Linked DNA regions of Pelodiscus sinensis. Each later gene encodes a partner of the first gene's protein in a complex. Links are inferred from orthologs where the notes say so. Each region holds a gene or a part of one and is shown on either strand. Other genes may lie near its edges. The genes, in order: RAB11FIP2 and RAB25.

Region 1 (7,427 bases):
GAAATAGAAATTAGCACACCATTAAGGTTGTAAGTGTTAGCATCTATTTCAGAGGTACAGCTGCAATTCTTTTGGCCTGTCTTTAAAAAGACAATACATTCAAAAATAACCTTTGCCATGATTCTGCAGCTGACAGGTTGAACAGACCTCTACACACAAGCAGAGTTAACTGTAAAACTGGGCCTATAGACTGTTAAAGCCGAATTAGCAAGTACAATTTATACACCTAACTTACAGCTTGGCCACACTGTTTTTAGACTGATTTAACTATACTCGTTTGGACTGGTCCATTTAAAGCTATATGACCTCTAATGTAGATATATCTGTATCAGTACAAAGGTACTTAAACAAATACAATTTATTCCTGTATATTTAGAAAAATAACCCACACTATACAAATATAATTGGGTCCACACAAGGGTTGAACCAATTTAACTACGTCAGTTAAAAAACACACACCCTAATACAAAAAAATTAGACCAGTACAAAAAAAAAAAAAAAAAAAAAAAAAAAAAAGAGGATGTTCACCAGGTCTTAGGATACTCAGTCTTTAAATATATAGTACACATACTATGCAAAATGATATTTATTAACTTCTGCATTCTTTCCTTTAAGTTCTAGTTGCAGAATTTGTTGGTCAATTATAGTTTTATTTAACAAAAGAATATCTGCTGCTGAAGGCTACTAAAGTGGAAGAAACTTCTAGGAACTGGACTAATAAGAACAGACCAACTCCACTTCATCGCTAAAGCCCAAACCTTACCCTAACAAGCTTCTCTGTCTGGGCCTGCAGTGCAGAACAGTTTGCAGGCTCAATACCTAAAACTCTAATCAGAAAAGTACACAGTACACTAGTGGTAAACCTTAATTTAGACAACGTTCATTCAGCACTAAATAATACGGAAAATTTAAGAGTCAGTTTTGCAGAATATGAACACTTAACACTACATTACATTGGTTGATACTAGACATTGCTTGAGTTGGACTATATTCAGACTTACTTCCCCTTCCTCTCCTCCTCCCAGATCTGGGAAATATATAGTCTAAATTGTGTTGCACAAGTTGAAAATGGTTTTACAACTGATGAGTATGAAAAAAATGGACTGTAAGAAGCTAATGTTAAAAAAAATGTAATTATTGTAGATAATTTTATTATCTATAGTCCTACTCTGTCCAGATGGGCATGTGTAATCACAGGAAAACCTACTGATTTAAATGAGGATACTCCTTTGAAGAGCTCATTGTATGACAGAGGCTTATGAGCCACATAATCTATTATACCTATTAGTTTCAATTAATTTTATTGTAGCTATAAGGCTTCTGATCTAGAACCACATACTTAAGAAACCCAAAAAACTGTAATACAAAACATCACTTACTCTGTTTTTCTTCGTTGCTTGTCCTCAAATATATCATTAAGATTTATTGCCACCTGTCCCAAAAATTTATCCAGGCCCACCAGCGACCTGTGCATGACAATCAGGTAAAGAATGTATTTCTCTGGATTCCCCTGCATCAGTAATCCAGGGAGCTCAAATGATGCCTCTTCTTTCCAGACTGGTTCTAAGGTCTTCTCAGCCACCGAGGTGGAGTATTTTTCCTTGCCCAGTTGTATGATAGTGTAGGTATCATTGGTGCCATTTTTGCCTTTTGGCTTCAGATCTTTGGCTTGAAGAACTGTAACCTGTACGTGGGTTGGGAACCACGTCTGGGCTTGCTCTGCCAACATCATCTTTGAAGAGTTCAGTAGTTGTAGCAACACAATAAAGTTTCTAAATCTTCTAGTTACTGCATAAGTGCACTTAAAGTAGGGATATCTATGAAAGTCCCAGCGTTATTTCTCTCAGTACTGAGTTTGGTTGTTTTTGTTTTTTTGAGACACACTAACCATTGCTTAGATTTTCCCTCCAAAAAAGTAACACCTTCAGTTCTATTACTAATTTTAAAAATAGAAAAAAATCACTCATATATTCTTTTTCTTCCACAACAATTAATGAACTCTTCTTTACTCAGTTTTCCCCCCTCACATCATTAAAAAAAAACACCCCCCAACTCCCAACTCCTGTAAAGACAACCCTGAACTTTAAAATTTCCCATTCCCTGCAAGGCCTTCTAATGTACTGTTCCTACCTCATTGCAAGAAGAAAGGGGCCCAGGGTGAGATAAATAAAGGAATGAGGTTTCAAGGTTTGTAACCAACTGTAGCCTGTCTCTCTTCTGCTTCGCAAACTCCCTCCAGGGCTAAATACTCCCTGGTCCCTCCCTTACCGCACATCATCCCAGAAGCCCCAACATACCCTCCCATATAGATCAGCCCTGCATGTTCAGTCCTAGGTCCCCTTCATAGCACTCTCCTCTCCCACCATGTTCCACTGGGTGCTGGGTAGCCCAGGATCACCTTGCTTAGTCCTCCCCTCAAAACTGCAAAGCCCCCTTTGTACCACCTCTCCGTGGATCTAGAAAATCCCTAGGGGTCTCCTCTTACTCCCTCCCCCAGATCTGGGAACCCCCTAGCATACTCTTACCCCCCCAAATCTCAGAACTCTTTAGTGTACCATATTAACCCCCAAAATTTGGGAACCCTCTAGTGCACCATCTTACCCCCCCCCCAAATCTGGGAACTCTCTAGTGTGCCATTTTACCCTCCCCCCCAAATCTGGGAACCCTCTCGTTTACCATCTTACCTCCCCAAATCTGGGAACCCTCTAGTGTGCCATTTTACCACCCCCCCCCAAAAAAAATTGGGAACCCTCTAGTTTACCATCTTACCCCCCGAAATCTGGGAAGCCCCTAGGGTCCCCTCTGACTCCCCCCTCCCAAATCTGGGAAGCCCCCAGGGTTCCCCGCTCAGACCCTCCCTCAGACTGCCCCTGGGGTCCTCTCCCTGCCCGGCTGTGAGGAGCCCTGCGGTCCTCTCCCTCCCCCCGGCCGCTGGCCAGGGTCGCTTTGCCCCCGCCCCCGCAGGCCTCCCCCGGCCCCTTACAGCCTCGGCGCCTCCGTCCCCAGCGGCGAAGGGCGGCCCCTGGAGCGCGGCGGTGCCAGGCTGGGCTCCCCGGCGGCGGACGGACGAGCGTGCCCGGCGGCTCGCGGCGCGCTCGCTTCCCGCACTGACGCCGCCCCCCCTCCGCCCGCAGAGTCTGCGGCGCTCGGCCTGCTGCTGCCGAGCCCGGCGCTGCCGCTTCCGCCTTCCCTCCGCTGCGGCTGCCTCCGCGGCGGTCAGAGGGCAGGGGGCAGGGTTCAATCCGGCCCGGCTCCTGAGAGCCCCGAGCCTTTCCGCCAAACCCCACCCTGCTCCGGAGCTTCCGGGCCTGGCTGCAGGGAGCGAGGCCCGCTCACGCCTGGCTGCGGGGGAAGCGGGGCCCCTCACCCTGGGGGGACTCCCGAGCAGTCATAGAGAAGACGGATCCCTTATTTATGGGCAGAAGAATTCACCCCAACATCGGAGGAGAGGGAGAATAGAGGAACCCGCTCCTGGGGGTGAGGGGGCACCTTGGACTATTAGTGGGAAGATAGAGGAAAGCCCCCTAATCTTGGCTAGGGGGAAAGAAAGAAAACTCCCTATTATTTTTAGAGGCACAAGAAGCCATCACTGGGGTGCAGTAGGGGTCCTCTAAGCATGGGCGGCTGGGGTTCGAATGCCTCCTATTTCAAACCAGGGGAGGAAGAAATTCCAATCTCCTGCACCTTCCCTCTACCCCTCCACCCCCAATATCTTGGGCTACGTCTAGATTGGCATGATTTTCCAGAAATGCTTTTAACGGAAAAGTTTTCCGTTAAAAACATTTTCGGAGAAGAGCGTCTAGATTGGCACAGATGCTTTTCCGCAGAAGCACTTTTTGCGGAAAAGCGTCCGTGCCAATCTAGACGCACGTTTCCGCAAAAAAGCCCAGATCGCCATTTTAGCGATCAGGGCTTTTTTGCGGAAAACAAATCCGAGCTGTCTACACTGGCCCCTTTTCGCAAAAGAGCAGCGTAGTATTTCCGCAAGAAGCACTGATTTCTTACAGTAGGAAGTCAGTGCTTTTGCAGAAATTTAAGTGGCCAGTGTAGACAGCTGGCAAGTTTTTCTGGAAAAGTGGCTGATTTTCTGGAAAAACTGGCCAGTCTAGACACAGCCTTGGGTTGAAGCTGAAAGCACCATTTTCTGGAAGAGAGGAGAGACTCCAGGCTGTGCTTAATTTTAAAATAATGTTTGAAATGTAAGAAAAGAAAACGGGTGGTAGGGGACAGATAGTCTATTAAGAGTTTTCAAATATATGGAACACTTTTATTCAAGAGAATAATGATAATTTGCTCTTCTGGCCTGCTGAAGACAGGACACAAAATAATGGGCTTAAGCTGTAAGTAGGAAAATGTAGGATCAATACCAGGAAAAGACTTTCAGTACACAAGCATAGTTGAGTGCCGGAACCAGCTTCCAGGAGAGGTTGTAGAATTTTCATCATTGGATCTTTAAGAACAGGTTGAACAAACACCTTCCAAGGTTGGTATAGGTTGTTCCTGACTTGGTAGAGTTTGCTAGACTTGATGACTTCTCAAGGACCCTTTCAGCCCTATCTGTTCTTTCTATAATTCTATGAAAAAAACTCTTGCAACTGAAAGGAGACATGCTACATATTTAAATAAAAACATTTAAAATACAATTTCTTGATATATAGATCATTCAGATTGTCTTAGCATTTTGACACTACCCAATATGTCACCAGTTCTGCGTTAGCAATCAGAGTCCACACATGGTGAACAAGTCTAGATGTACAACTAGTCCAAACCTGTCATGCATGTCTGCCATTTTAAAGGAAGTTTTCAAAATTTTCACTCCTGTGATTCAAGATTTTGCAGTCTGTTTCAAGAAACTCTGAAATCTCATTTCCCAACCTTCACCACGCCATTTAATTTAAATTAATTAGCAAAAATAAGTATAAATTGTTTGGAAATATAGTAGAACCCGAGTTATGAACAACAGAGTTACAAGTGACCAGTCAACCACACATCTCATTTGGAACCAGAAGTGGGCAATCAGGCAATAGCAGAAACAAAACAAATAAAAACCAATACAGTAGAGTTCTGGGTTAAATATAATCTAAAAACTAAAGAAAAGTTTATAAAAAAAAAAAAGATTTGGCAAGGTAAGAAAACTGTTTCTGTGCCTGTGTCATTTAAATTAAGACGGTAAAAACATTTTTCTTTCACATAGTAAAGTTTCAAAGCTGTATTAAGTCAATATTCATTTGTAAACTTTTGAAAGAACAGCCATAATGTTTTGTTCATAGTTACAAATATTTCATAGTTACAAACATTCCTGTAGTGTTCTTAACTCTGAGGTTCTACTGTATATAATTTGAATGGTATTATCCCACAGGAGACTTCTGTGTGCTACAGATATTAGCTATATTTCTAAATACACATGCAGACATGTTATGGATGCTAAACTGAATATCTGACAGACACATTTTGGTTGCTAAACTATGTCCTACCAACACAAACCCACCAATACTGAACCAACTACTGGTACTCTTGAACTCTGACTGTAGACTATCTATTTGTACTGATGATTAAACATGGTTGGTGTGTCCTTCATAAATCACTGTGTACGTAGTTTTCTGTTGGTGTAAGCTGCAAGATATTTTTTGTAATGTTGAAAAAAAAAGTTAAAAGGATCGTCCATGTTCATTATTGGAACATTTATTGTAATAAATTTGGTATTAATTTTGGAGTGTAAATTACAACTATTATCCTGCATATCTATTAGTTAAAGTGCAATATATTTGACATTGGAATTAAGGCTGCACATTGGTTGTTCAGGATGAGCAGCTCTTCCACACACATGCTCCTTCTTTGCCTCTCCTACATCCCCCTTCATCATCTCCGGTGATCATCTCTTAGATATGGCAAATACTTAAGTGGGGATGGAAAGACATAAGGAACATGAAGGGATGAATGGTCAAGGAAATTCATCAAGGATATTAAAAAGCAGAGGATCTGATAGGTAACGCATAGGGGAAAGGGTAAGATGAGAAGACTATGGCAATGCTATTTTGCAAAAAGTTGGCTGATTTGGAGGCAGGGAGAAGATTCTTTGGGATCTTGTGAACACCTTGATTATAACTTTCACAAGTATAGATAACAGAAACAGAATTTGAAGCTTGAGTATTTGTACAGACACTAAGAGCGCTGGCCATCCAATCAGGAATAAAAGTATACCCTGTAACCTGTGTCCCCTCAGAAATAACATGTATCACCCAATAATCCAAAGTTTCAAGCAGATAGGTACCAGTGATCTGCTGACCAAACATTTCTCACCAAAATTACCTGGCAAACAATTCCAAATAATGCAAAAATTGCAAACTTTTCAATTTGCAAACAGAAACCATAGAGAAATTCATTCATCAAATACATTATTTGCCACAATAAATTCGCTTACCTCTACAAGTACAGACAAATGTGTTGATCCTCTTCAATAAGTACTGTTCTGCATGCAATCGGAAATGAAACAGAAGAATGGAATGGTCTCAGAGCAGCCAAGTGTAAAAGGAGAGTGTTTTCTTTTGCTGGGGCAGCTGAAGTGTCAACTCTGATGTGGAATTAGAGATGCATTGTCGGTTCCCTGGGTGAGAGCAGAGAGGGTATTAAAAATTACTGAAAATTACAGAATTCTGCCACAACTCTTGGAATCCTATAGATTTATTTAAATACTGATCTCTTGGGCCAAGCACATGTAGAAGAGTGAATTAATAGAGAAAGATGGTGCACGTGAGAATTAAGACTGTTTTAATTGTAACTATAATCGTTACAGGGCAAGACTTCCTTGTCTTGGTCAGTATTTTGTTTTCTGGCGAGTTCCTCCTTACAGCCTCCTTTTAGTTAACTCTGTAATGGCAGGGAGGATCTTATCACACAGGTAAACTGAGGACCTTATGACACTTATAAACAATAAGGCTATGTCTACACTCATGGCTTCTTGCACAACTATGACCATTCTTGTGCAAGAATCTGCAGAGCGTCCACACTGCCCGCCTGCTCTTGTGCAAGTAAATTTACAGTACGGCGTGGTAAAGGGGGCTCCTTGCTCAAGAGCTACGCTCTTTTTTGACAGGTATAAGCCCTCTTGCACAGGAGCTCTTGCACAAGAGGGCTGTGTGGACGCTCAGCAGGGATTTCTTGTGCAAGAAAGCCCTAAGGCTAAAATGACCTTCATAGCTTTCTTGCGCAAGAAAGCATCCACACTGCCATGGGCGCTCTTGTGCAAAAACACAGCTCGCACATGGCAGTGTGGACGTTTTCTTGTGCAAGAGTTCTTGCACAAGAACACTTGCGCAAGATGTTCTTGCGCAATAAGCCATGAGTGTAGACGTAGCCTGACAGACATTCTCATTCTCCACAACATTGCTAACCATTATAATTCTGTAATAATTGTTCATTTTTAAAGT
Region 2 (7,867 bases), on another chromosome or scaffold:
GAACATAAGAACGTAAGAACGGCCGTACTGGGTCAGACCAAAGGTCCATCTAGCCCAGTATCCTGTCTACCGACAGTGGCCAGCACCAGGTGCCCCAGAGAGGGTGGACCGAAGACAATGATCAAGCAATTTGTCTCCTGCCATCCCTCTCCAGCCTCTGACAAACAGAGGCCAAGGACACCATTTTATCCCCTGGCTAATAGCCTTTTATGGACCTAACCTCCATGAAATCATCTAGCTTCTCTTTAAACTCTATTATAGTCCTAGCCTTCACAGCCTCCTCTGGCAAGGAGTTCCACAGGTTGACTACACGCTGTGTGAAGAAGAACTTTCTTTTATTAGTTTTAAACCTGCTCCCCATTAATGTCATTTGGTGTCCTCTAGTTCTTCTATTTATAACTTTTCTTTATCGGCCCTCTCCACACCACTCATGATTTTATATACCTCTATCATATCCCCCCTCAGTCTCCTTTTTTCTAAACTGAAAAGTCCCATTCGCTTTAACCTCTCCTCATATGGGACCCGTTCCAAACCCCTAATCATTTTAGTAAAAGTTTGGGGCCTAGTTGCCAGAGCCACTGTCCTTCTCCCAGTGAAATAAGGGCATACAGACCTGGCTAGAAAGTAATAAACATTTTCCCCTGCAAATAAAAATTTTGGTTTAAATGTTTTTTTCCAGAAAAACCAAAACATTTTCCTTGTTCGAGAAAATAAATTTGGTGGGTTTTTTTGTTTTGTTTTTTAAATCTGGCTTTTGTTGCAATTCCAGTTACTGAAAGCAGTTTGACTCAGGTTAGAAGAAACTGCGCTCTAAAGGGATGCAATCCAGTTAGGGCCTGATCCTGTCAGCAGGCATTACGCCATGTTGGCATTAATACTTTTTACATTACAGTAGTACTTGGAGGCTCATACCAAGACTGAGGCCCCAGCATGACAGGGGGCCATGACAACCCAGAGCAAGAAACAGTCTCTGCTCCTTATGGGGCCTGAGAAACACAGATTATTTTAATTGTATCCTTTGGTATATATGGTTGTGACTATTTTCTTCCATTATTTGATCTGAGGAAGTGGGTCTGGCCCATGAAAGCTCATCACCTAATAAACCATCTTGTTAGTCTTTAAAGTGCTACATAGTCCTGTATTTTGTTTCAGCTACACCAGACTAACACGGCTACATTTCTATCACAGATTAGAAGTGGGTCTGGCCCATGAAAGCTCATCACCTAATAAACCATCTTGTTAGTCTTTAAAGTGCTACATAGTCCTGTATTTTGTTTCAGATTAGCCACAGTACTTGTTGCATTCCGGCCACACCCCAATCCTCCCTCTATGTTTATGGCCCTTTCCTCAGCTCCAAACCAGTTGGGACAGCCCCTTGTGCAAGCAGGATCCTTACATGGCTATTTCCACCCTTTAAGGCTGCTCTCCACTTCGTGCTGGTCTTTGCACCCCTTCTGATCCGGTAGCACTTTGCATAGATGTAAATGCGCACTCACAGTGTGGGGTGATGGAGAACCAGCTCCCAAGGTGGGACAGTCCAGACATCCATCGGGATTCAAATGCCTGGGGATCTGGATTGACAGAAGCCCCAAACCTCCACACTGAGCTTAGCACCATTCCACCAACCCCCCGCAGCAGTGACACTGTAACACTGGCTACTTCTGATTGTCCAGCTAGGCCAGCAGCGACGAGTACCTAATACTCAAGAGCATGGCTTCCCAAACTGGGGTGTGTGAAGAAATTCCCGGGGGGGGGGGAGGAGCACGAGGCGACCCAACCCCCCCCTCCCCCATCAAGTTTTGCTGCCCCAGTCAGTTCCTTTTTTTTTTTTCCTCAACAAATTTTGCTATTTTGGGGGAAGGGAATGTGAGGGTTTTTGAAAAATCAAAAAGTGGGTGTGATGCTGAAAAGTTTGGGAACTGCTGCTCAAGAGGGAGGTGTCAGACCCCCTGACTGCATCCCACAACGCACCCGTCAGTCCAGGCACCGAGCTGGGCTGTTGATTTACTGATGGGATACTCAGTGGGTCACAATCTTGGACAATTTGGGAGAGGAGGGTATAGCTGAGGGGCTCATCTGAGCCAAATTCCTGGTGTAGCTCCACTGACTTCTTTAGGGCTTATGCCCTGGTGAAGTGGGATTTGGCCACAGGGATGGACCGAGGTCAAAGAGCCACCTCGAAGGACTCCTCATAACCACAGGAGAAAGACCCTTTCCCCCAGTTTCTGTTCTGGATGGCTGCTTCCCCTCCACCTCTTGTGGTACATGCCCTAGCCCAGTGGTTCTCAGCCAGGGGTGGGGGGAAAACATGTGTACACCTGTGGGTCTTTCAGAGGGTACATCAGTTCATCGAGATATTTGCTCCGTTTTACAACAGGCTACATAAAAATCACTAGCAAAGTCCATACACACTAACATTTCATACAGACAGTGACTTGTTTGTACCGTGCGCCACACTGAAATGTAAATACGATATTCATACCCCGGTGGATTTATTTTATACTTCGGTGGTAAAAATGGGAAAGTCAGCAGATTTTGGAGTAGCCGTGCACGGCGAGATTTTTGTGTTTCGACGTCTGGTTTTGTAAGCAAGTCATTTTTAAGTGAGGGGAAACGTGGGGCTTGCAATTCAAATCGGACTCCTGAAAGGGATACAGTTGTCCAGAAAGGTGAACAGCCACTGTCTCAGCCCATCACTGCTGCAGCTGGTCTCCCCACATCCATCCATCCATCCTTTGCCCACCTCTCCCCATGCCCCCAGTTCCACCCTTCCAAAAGGCAGAACTAGCACATTGAAACCTAGTCACCGAATGAGGGTGCCGGCAAAACTTACCCTTAAAGACAAAGTTATAATTCTCCTCAGCTGTCCCCATCTTTCCCAGCCACACCTGGCCCCCCTCCGGCCTGGGATCCTCCTCTCAATCTTTGCTTGCTTCCTTACCAGCCAGGGTGTGGGGGAGTTTTCTTTTTTGCCAGGCTCTGATAAACCAGGAAGAGAGAGGACAAAATTTCCTCCTAAGCCAGCGAAGCTGAAAGCGATTGGGAGGAGAGTTGCCAGAGGGGAGGAGACCCACAGAGCCAAGTTCCCTTTACTGCACCAGCTCCCAAAAACCCAGCTTCTGTGTCCTGTTGTCAGAGGGACTGGGCGGGGAATAGATCCTTTCTAGGCGGGTTGAAGGTGCAGCTCTGCAGGGCTGGCTGACTCAGTGAGGTGTGACCCGGGTGTCGCTGTACAGGTTTGTCAGGTAGTGCAAACCACCCCCACCAGCGTCACATGGTTGCTGGGCTCACCCGTACTGGCCTCGGCTTAACTTCACCCTAGGTGTAGAGCAGGAGTGGGGAACCTTTTTGGGTCGGGGGCCACTGACCCACAGGAAAAACGGACGGGGGCTGCATATAAAGTGAGAAGAAACAAACAAGCAAACAAAACTCCTTAGTGACGTGGCTCCCAGCTGAAGAGAAAGACACTCTCCACATTCCCCTTGTGAACCAGAGCCTAAGGGGTCCAGCCTAGTACATTATGTGTGCCCAGTGAGGTGAACCTCGGAAGGCTGGATCCAGGCAAGCCGGGGGCCACATCCGGCCCCCAGGCCTGAGGTTCCCCACCCCTGGTGTAGAAGGACCAGTTTGAGTGGGGGGTTTCATCACAGGATATGAACTCATAGGAAAGATGAATCTTTCATTCCTGGGGATGCCAGAGGAATTCTGAAGGGCTGGCAAGTCTCTGGAGGAGGGAGGGCCAGCAGGAAGCCAGACAGCAGGGTGTGGGAGGCAGAGGGGACAAGGAGAAAGAGCTGAGGATGGAGAGAGGAGCAATTTGCCTGCGGAACCAACTCTGCGGATCTGGGTCAAGTGCCTCAAAAAACACGCTTTGCCTCAGGTGTGTCTATGCCTACAGCGGGCTCCCCTGGAAACAGTCCATGCCTGTCTGGTGACACACCAGGGAGTGAATCAGGGATCTGCAGCGTGAAAAGTCTGAGCCCCCTTATCGCTTCAGCTCAGCCCTGCAGCCTGACTTCTGTGGCTGGGACCAAGAGAGAGGCCTGTAACACACACTCTGGCCTGGGGCTGACACCGTTTATTTCCTGAAGGACTCCTTGGAGGAGCAGAGTGCCAAGGGGACTGACTATTTGAGAGGGGAAGGGATGAACTAACAGGAGTCTGGCTGGGGTTGACAAGAGGGGATGCAGAGGAGGGTCCAGTTGTACCAGGGCTCCAAGTTCGAGGAGCCCCAAAATATCTGTGTAAAGAAAGTGACAGGCAGAGCCATCCCATCTGTGGTAGGATGAACCAGGGTGGCTGCTCCGGCTCCTGGTGAATATGGGGGGGGGGCTCTAATCCAGGACGTTGTTTGGGGGAGGTGATGGTGGTGGGCAGGAGCACAGCAGCAATGGGGCTTGGGGAAGGGGAGGGGAACAAGGGTGGGGCCTGAGGTGGGGAAGGGGGATCCCAGGGCTTGGAGCACTGAGGGTCATCCAGGCCCTGCACCCCCCTAGGGATGGCCCTGGTGACATGGGGGGAGCCCCAGGGAATACAATGTACTTGGGCCCCAATTGCCCCTTGCTCTGCCCCTGCAGACCGTGTGCCTGCTGTGACTAAGGTGAACCCACGGAGCATGAGAGAGGCATTCTCAGTCATCCGTGTGCGAATGACTCGCGCACCTCAGCGGTCCATGGAGGTGACCTCTGGACTCCGTGCTGTACATAGACCCAGTGAGAGACAGACCCTACCTGAAGAGACAGCTTACCAATGCAAACAGCGGCCCAAAGGCTGGGGAGGGGTTTGATTTCCATGGTTCAAAACCCAGCTCTCCTGACTCCAGCCCGGTGGGCAACCCCTGAGCCAGGCCCTCCTCTCACAAGCAGGTCCTGTCACTGCATCAGCATCTGCTCTGGGGACTGGTAGAAGAGACACTGGAAAGGCCTCTAAAGAGGAGCTGAGGGAAAAGGTTTTAAAGTGGCTCAGGCTGGTGGGGGGAAGGCCCCCAATATTTCATTCCGCAAATGGGGTTCTCATTGCCTAGCCTTAGAGCAGGGGTGGAGAACCGACGGCGTCAGGGCCCTCCTAGCATTAGGGAATCGACATTGTTCCTGCAAGGGGCTGGAGCACACAAAATCGACTAGCCTGGGCCTGCCTAGACTCTGGTGTGAGGGGAATGGCTCAGTTGGGGGGTTTGTTGGGTTTTTGTTTGTTTGTTTTGTTTTTTTCGTTCTCACTTGGGGGCGGCCCCCGACTGATTTTTCTGTGGGTCTGTGGCCCCCGACCCAAAAAAGGTTCCCCACCCCCGGCTTACAGCCACTACAGGGCAGTGAGCGAACCCAGGGCTGCATGAGGCAAGTCCCTAGCTCCACCCCTGCTGCCTGAGGCCCCGCCCCTGCTGCCCAAGGCCCCCATGGAACCCAAGACCCCACACTGTAGGGGCAGGCCACCCCCACCCTAGCTTTCCCTAGAGCACAGGGAGGGTCGGTGGCCCCCCCCTCCAAACCCAGAGGGCAGGCAGCGAGCGGCTCCTCTGGCCTTGGAGCCCGGGTGATGCTGAAGCCCAGGCACCCCAGGAGACTGGAGGGAGCCACACTGAGTGGGAGGGGGTTTGGGGGCAGAGTGTGGGTGGGACCAGCCAGGTAGCTTGGGAAGGTATTGCCTTCCCTTGCCTCTTACACCTGCCACCCATGAGCCGCTACGATCCCGCCGCTGGATCCCCAGAGCTGCCACTGCAGGAGAATGATCAGCCCTTGGACGGATCTTAGGTACGGGAGGCAGCGCGACTGAGCCAACAGGGCTTTCGTCTATGCCTGGGACCGCACCTCTTTCCGGCTGGGCAGGGAGCTGTGTGAGCTAATGCCACCGCCTACGTAGGCAGGTGAAAACTCAGCAGGGGGTGGGAGAGGCCAAGTCACAGGAGGAGAAATCAGAGCCATTAAGGGCTTAGCGCTACCCAGCACCGACGCTGTGCGCTCGTGAACTATTTCATGCTAATGCGGGGTGGGGGGGTATGCGAAGTCCAGGAGGCTAATTCCCCATTGTACTCTTTTTACATGGCTCAGGAAGCCCTTTTTACATGGCTCGGGAAGCAAGTGAAATCCTGGCCCTACCAGTGGTGCTAGAACAATTCTTGATGTGAGCTGCACCCCGCCCCAGCTGTGGCTGCGCCCCAAACCACTCCTTAGAGCTGGGGCTGGCAGCAAAGCCCCTGAGGCTAGCAGCTGAGTAAGACCCAGGGTGGACAATGGAGTTCCTGGGCATGGGGCCAGCTGGCAGTGGGGTCAGTGTCTGGGAGCCCAGCATGCAGGGTGGGCAGTCAGGACTCTGGAACCTGCAACAGAGCAGCCAAGACACAGGGTGCAAAAACTGAGGGTAGTGCAGCACCCCATACACCCATACTTCCTGCGCTTATGGGTGCCACTGCTGTTACTGGCCAAGCTCCCATGGGCCTCCCTCATTATAGCTCATAGTTTTCTTCTGCCACTCCCAAAGGAGAGCAGTATCATTACTCCCATTTTACAGGCAGGGAAGCTGAGGCACAGAGCAAGCAAGTGACTTGCCCGAGGTCACCCAACAGTCCAGAAGCAGGACTAGAATACAGGTCTCCTGACTCCCTGTCCAAAGCACTAGGCTACGCTGCGTCCCCCTTAGCTCTGAGTTAGCAAATTTCCTTCTATTTCCATAATTTGTATAAACATGAGTGGATTAGAGGAGGAGATACAACTATTTTGGATTTGTCTACACAGTGCCACAGCCCCGACTCAGGGCATGTGAACTGGTGTGTGCTCTCATTGGCTGCTACTCTGTGCAGACTCTGCCAGCATGAAAAGGTGCCTAGTTTGCATTGATGTAGCTCTGTGTCAGACAGGACCATGTGAACACAAAAGTTGGGTAGCTTTTAGTTCACACCCCCTGGGCCAGCCCAGGGCAGGCAGAGCATGGTACCATCCTCCGACCCGCTGATCTTGGCATGACCCAAGCCTTAACCCTGGGCACAGCACTACATGAACTGGCTAGTTTCACTTTTAAAAAACACCAGGACAGCTTCTCCTGCTGTTGGTGCAGATCAGAAATAACTCCACTTACACTGTGGTAGGAGGGGGAGAATCGGGTGTTTGTGGGCCTCCTACCACCGGTGGCTGGATTTACAGAATCAGACCTGGACACTGCTGGTATCTCCAAGAACAGACACTCCGAATTCATGTCTGTAGTCAGTCACGGGGGTGTAAATCCAGATTGACTCGCTCCAGATTTACACCAGTGTTACTGGCAGCAGAGCATTTTCGGTTAGGAAATGAAAGTTGCATTCCTTATCCTCTGCTGCCATCATGTGAGCAACAGAGGGAAAAACTAGACAGCTCAGCAACCCCTGAATCCTCTTTAGCCTTCTGCCCCAGGCCAACGTGTTCAAAAATCCATCACCACTTGCTTCAGTAGAAGCTGCAAGAACCCCACTTCTCCCTCCCAAATAGGCAGCCATGCCTCCTTCCCCCTTGAAACTCCCTCACTGTTAGATTGCTTGAGGCCTTAATGCCAAGGCTCTGCCTTTTAAAAGGGCTCCCCCAAATGCTCTTGCATGCAACCTATTAGACCACTTAAACTAGTGCTCAGTCACCAGAGTGATGGGCTCAGTACCAGAACCTACATAAGTGTCTAGTCCTGCTTCCTTAAATTCTTGCCCTCTGTATGATCCTGTGGCAGAGAGTTCCACAGTCTAATTTCACAGTAGATTGAAGGGGGAGGGGGAACCTTGTGAGATGTACATAGTGGCGCACAGACCTAGGCACATTACAGTAATACCTAGAAGCACCACCCGAGGCATGTGCTAGGGTAATGTGAAGATACAAGCAAGGGATATCCCAACCCCAGAAAGCTTGCAGTCTAA

Evidence for each region.
Region 2: the proteins of RAB11FIP2 (region 1) and RAB25 are in contact, whole or in part, in a crystal structure (PDB 3TSO), measured with the Homo sapiens proteins. The link is inferred for Pelodiscus sinensis from reciprocal best matches to the Homo sapiens genes RAB11FIP2 and RAB25. Residues at the interface, in NP_055719.1 of Homo sapiens: Arg475, Glu478, Ile481, Asp482, Asn483, Leu485, Val486, Met489, Pro493, Ser494, Leu496, Arg497, Val498, Pro499; in NP_065120.2 of Homo sapiens: Arg34, Ile45, Gly46, Val47, Glu48, Phe49, Ser50, Thr51, Lys62, Trp66, Arg73, Arg75, Ala76, Ile77, Ala80, Tyr81.

What each region holds. Positions count from the first base shown.
Region 1 is NC_134718.1:60,112,808-60,120,234, reverse strand, and holds the start of RAB11FIP2 (rab11 family-interacting protein 2), read right to left. Parts: upstream 3,246-7,427; 5' UTR 1,733-3,245; coding exon 1,380-1,732; intron 1-1,379. UniProt on the Homo sapiens protein: A Rab11 effector binding preferentially phosphatidylinositol 3,4,5-trisphosphate (PtdInsP3) and phosphatidic acid (PA) and acting in the regulation of the transport of vesicles from the endosomal recycling compartment (ERC) to the plasma membrane.
Region 2 is NC_134734.1:16,798,868-16,806,734, forward strand, and holds the start of RAB25 (ras-related protein Rab-25), read right to left. Parts: upstream 3,195-7,867; 5' UTR 2,874-3,194; coding exon 2,834-2,873; intron 1-2,833. UniProt on the Homo sapiens protein: The small GTPases Rab are key regulators of intracellular membrane trafficking, from the formation of transport vesicles to their fusion with membranes.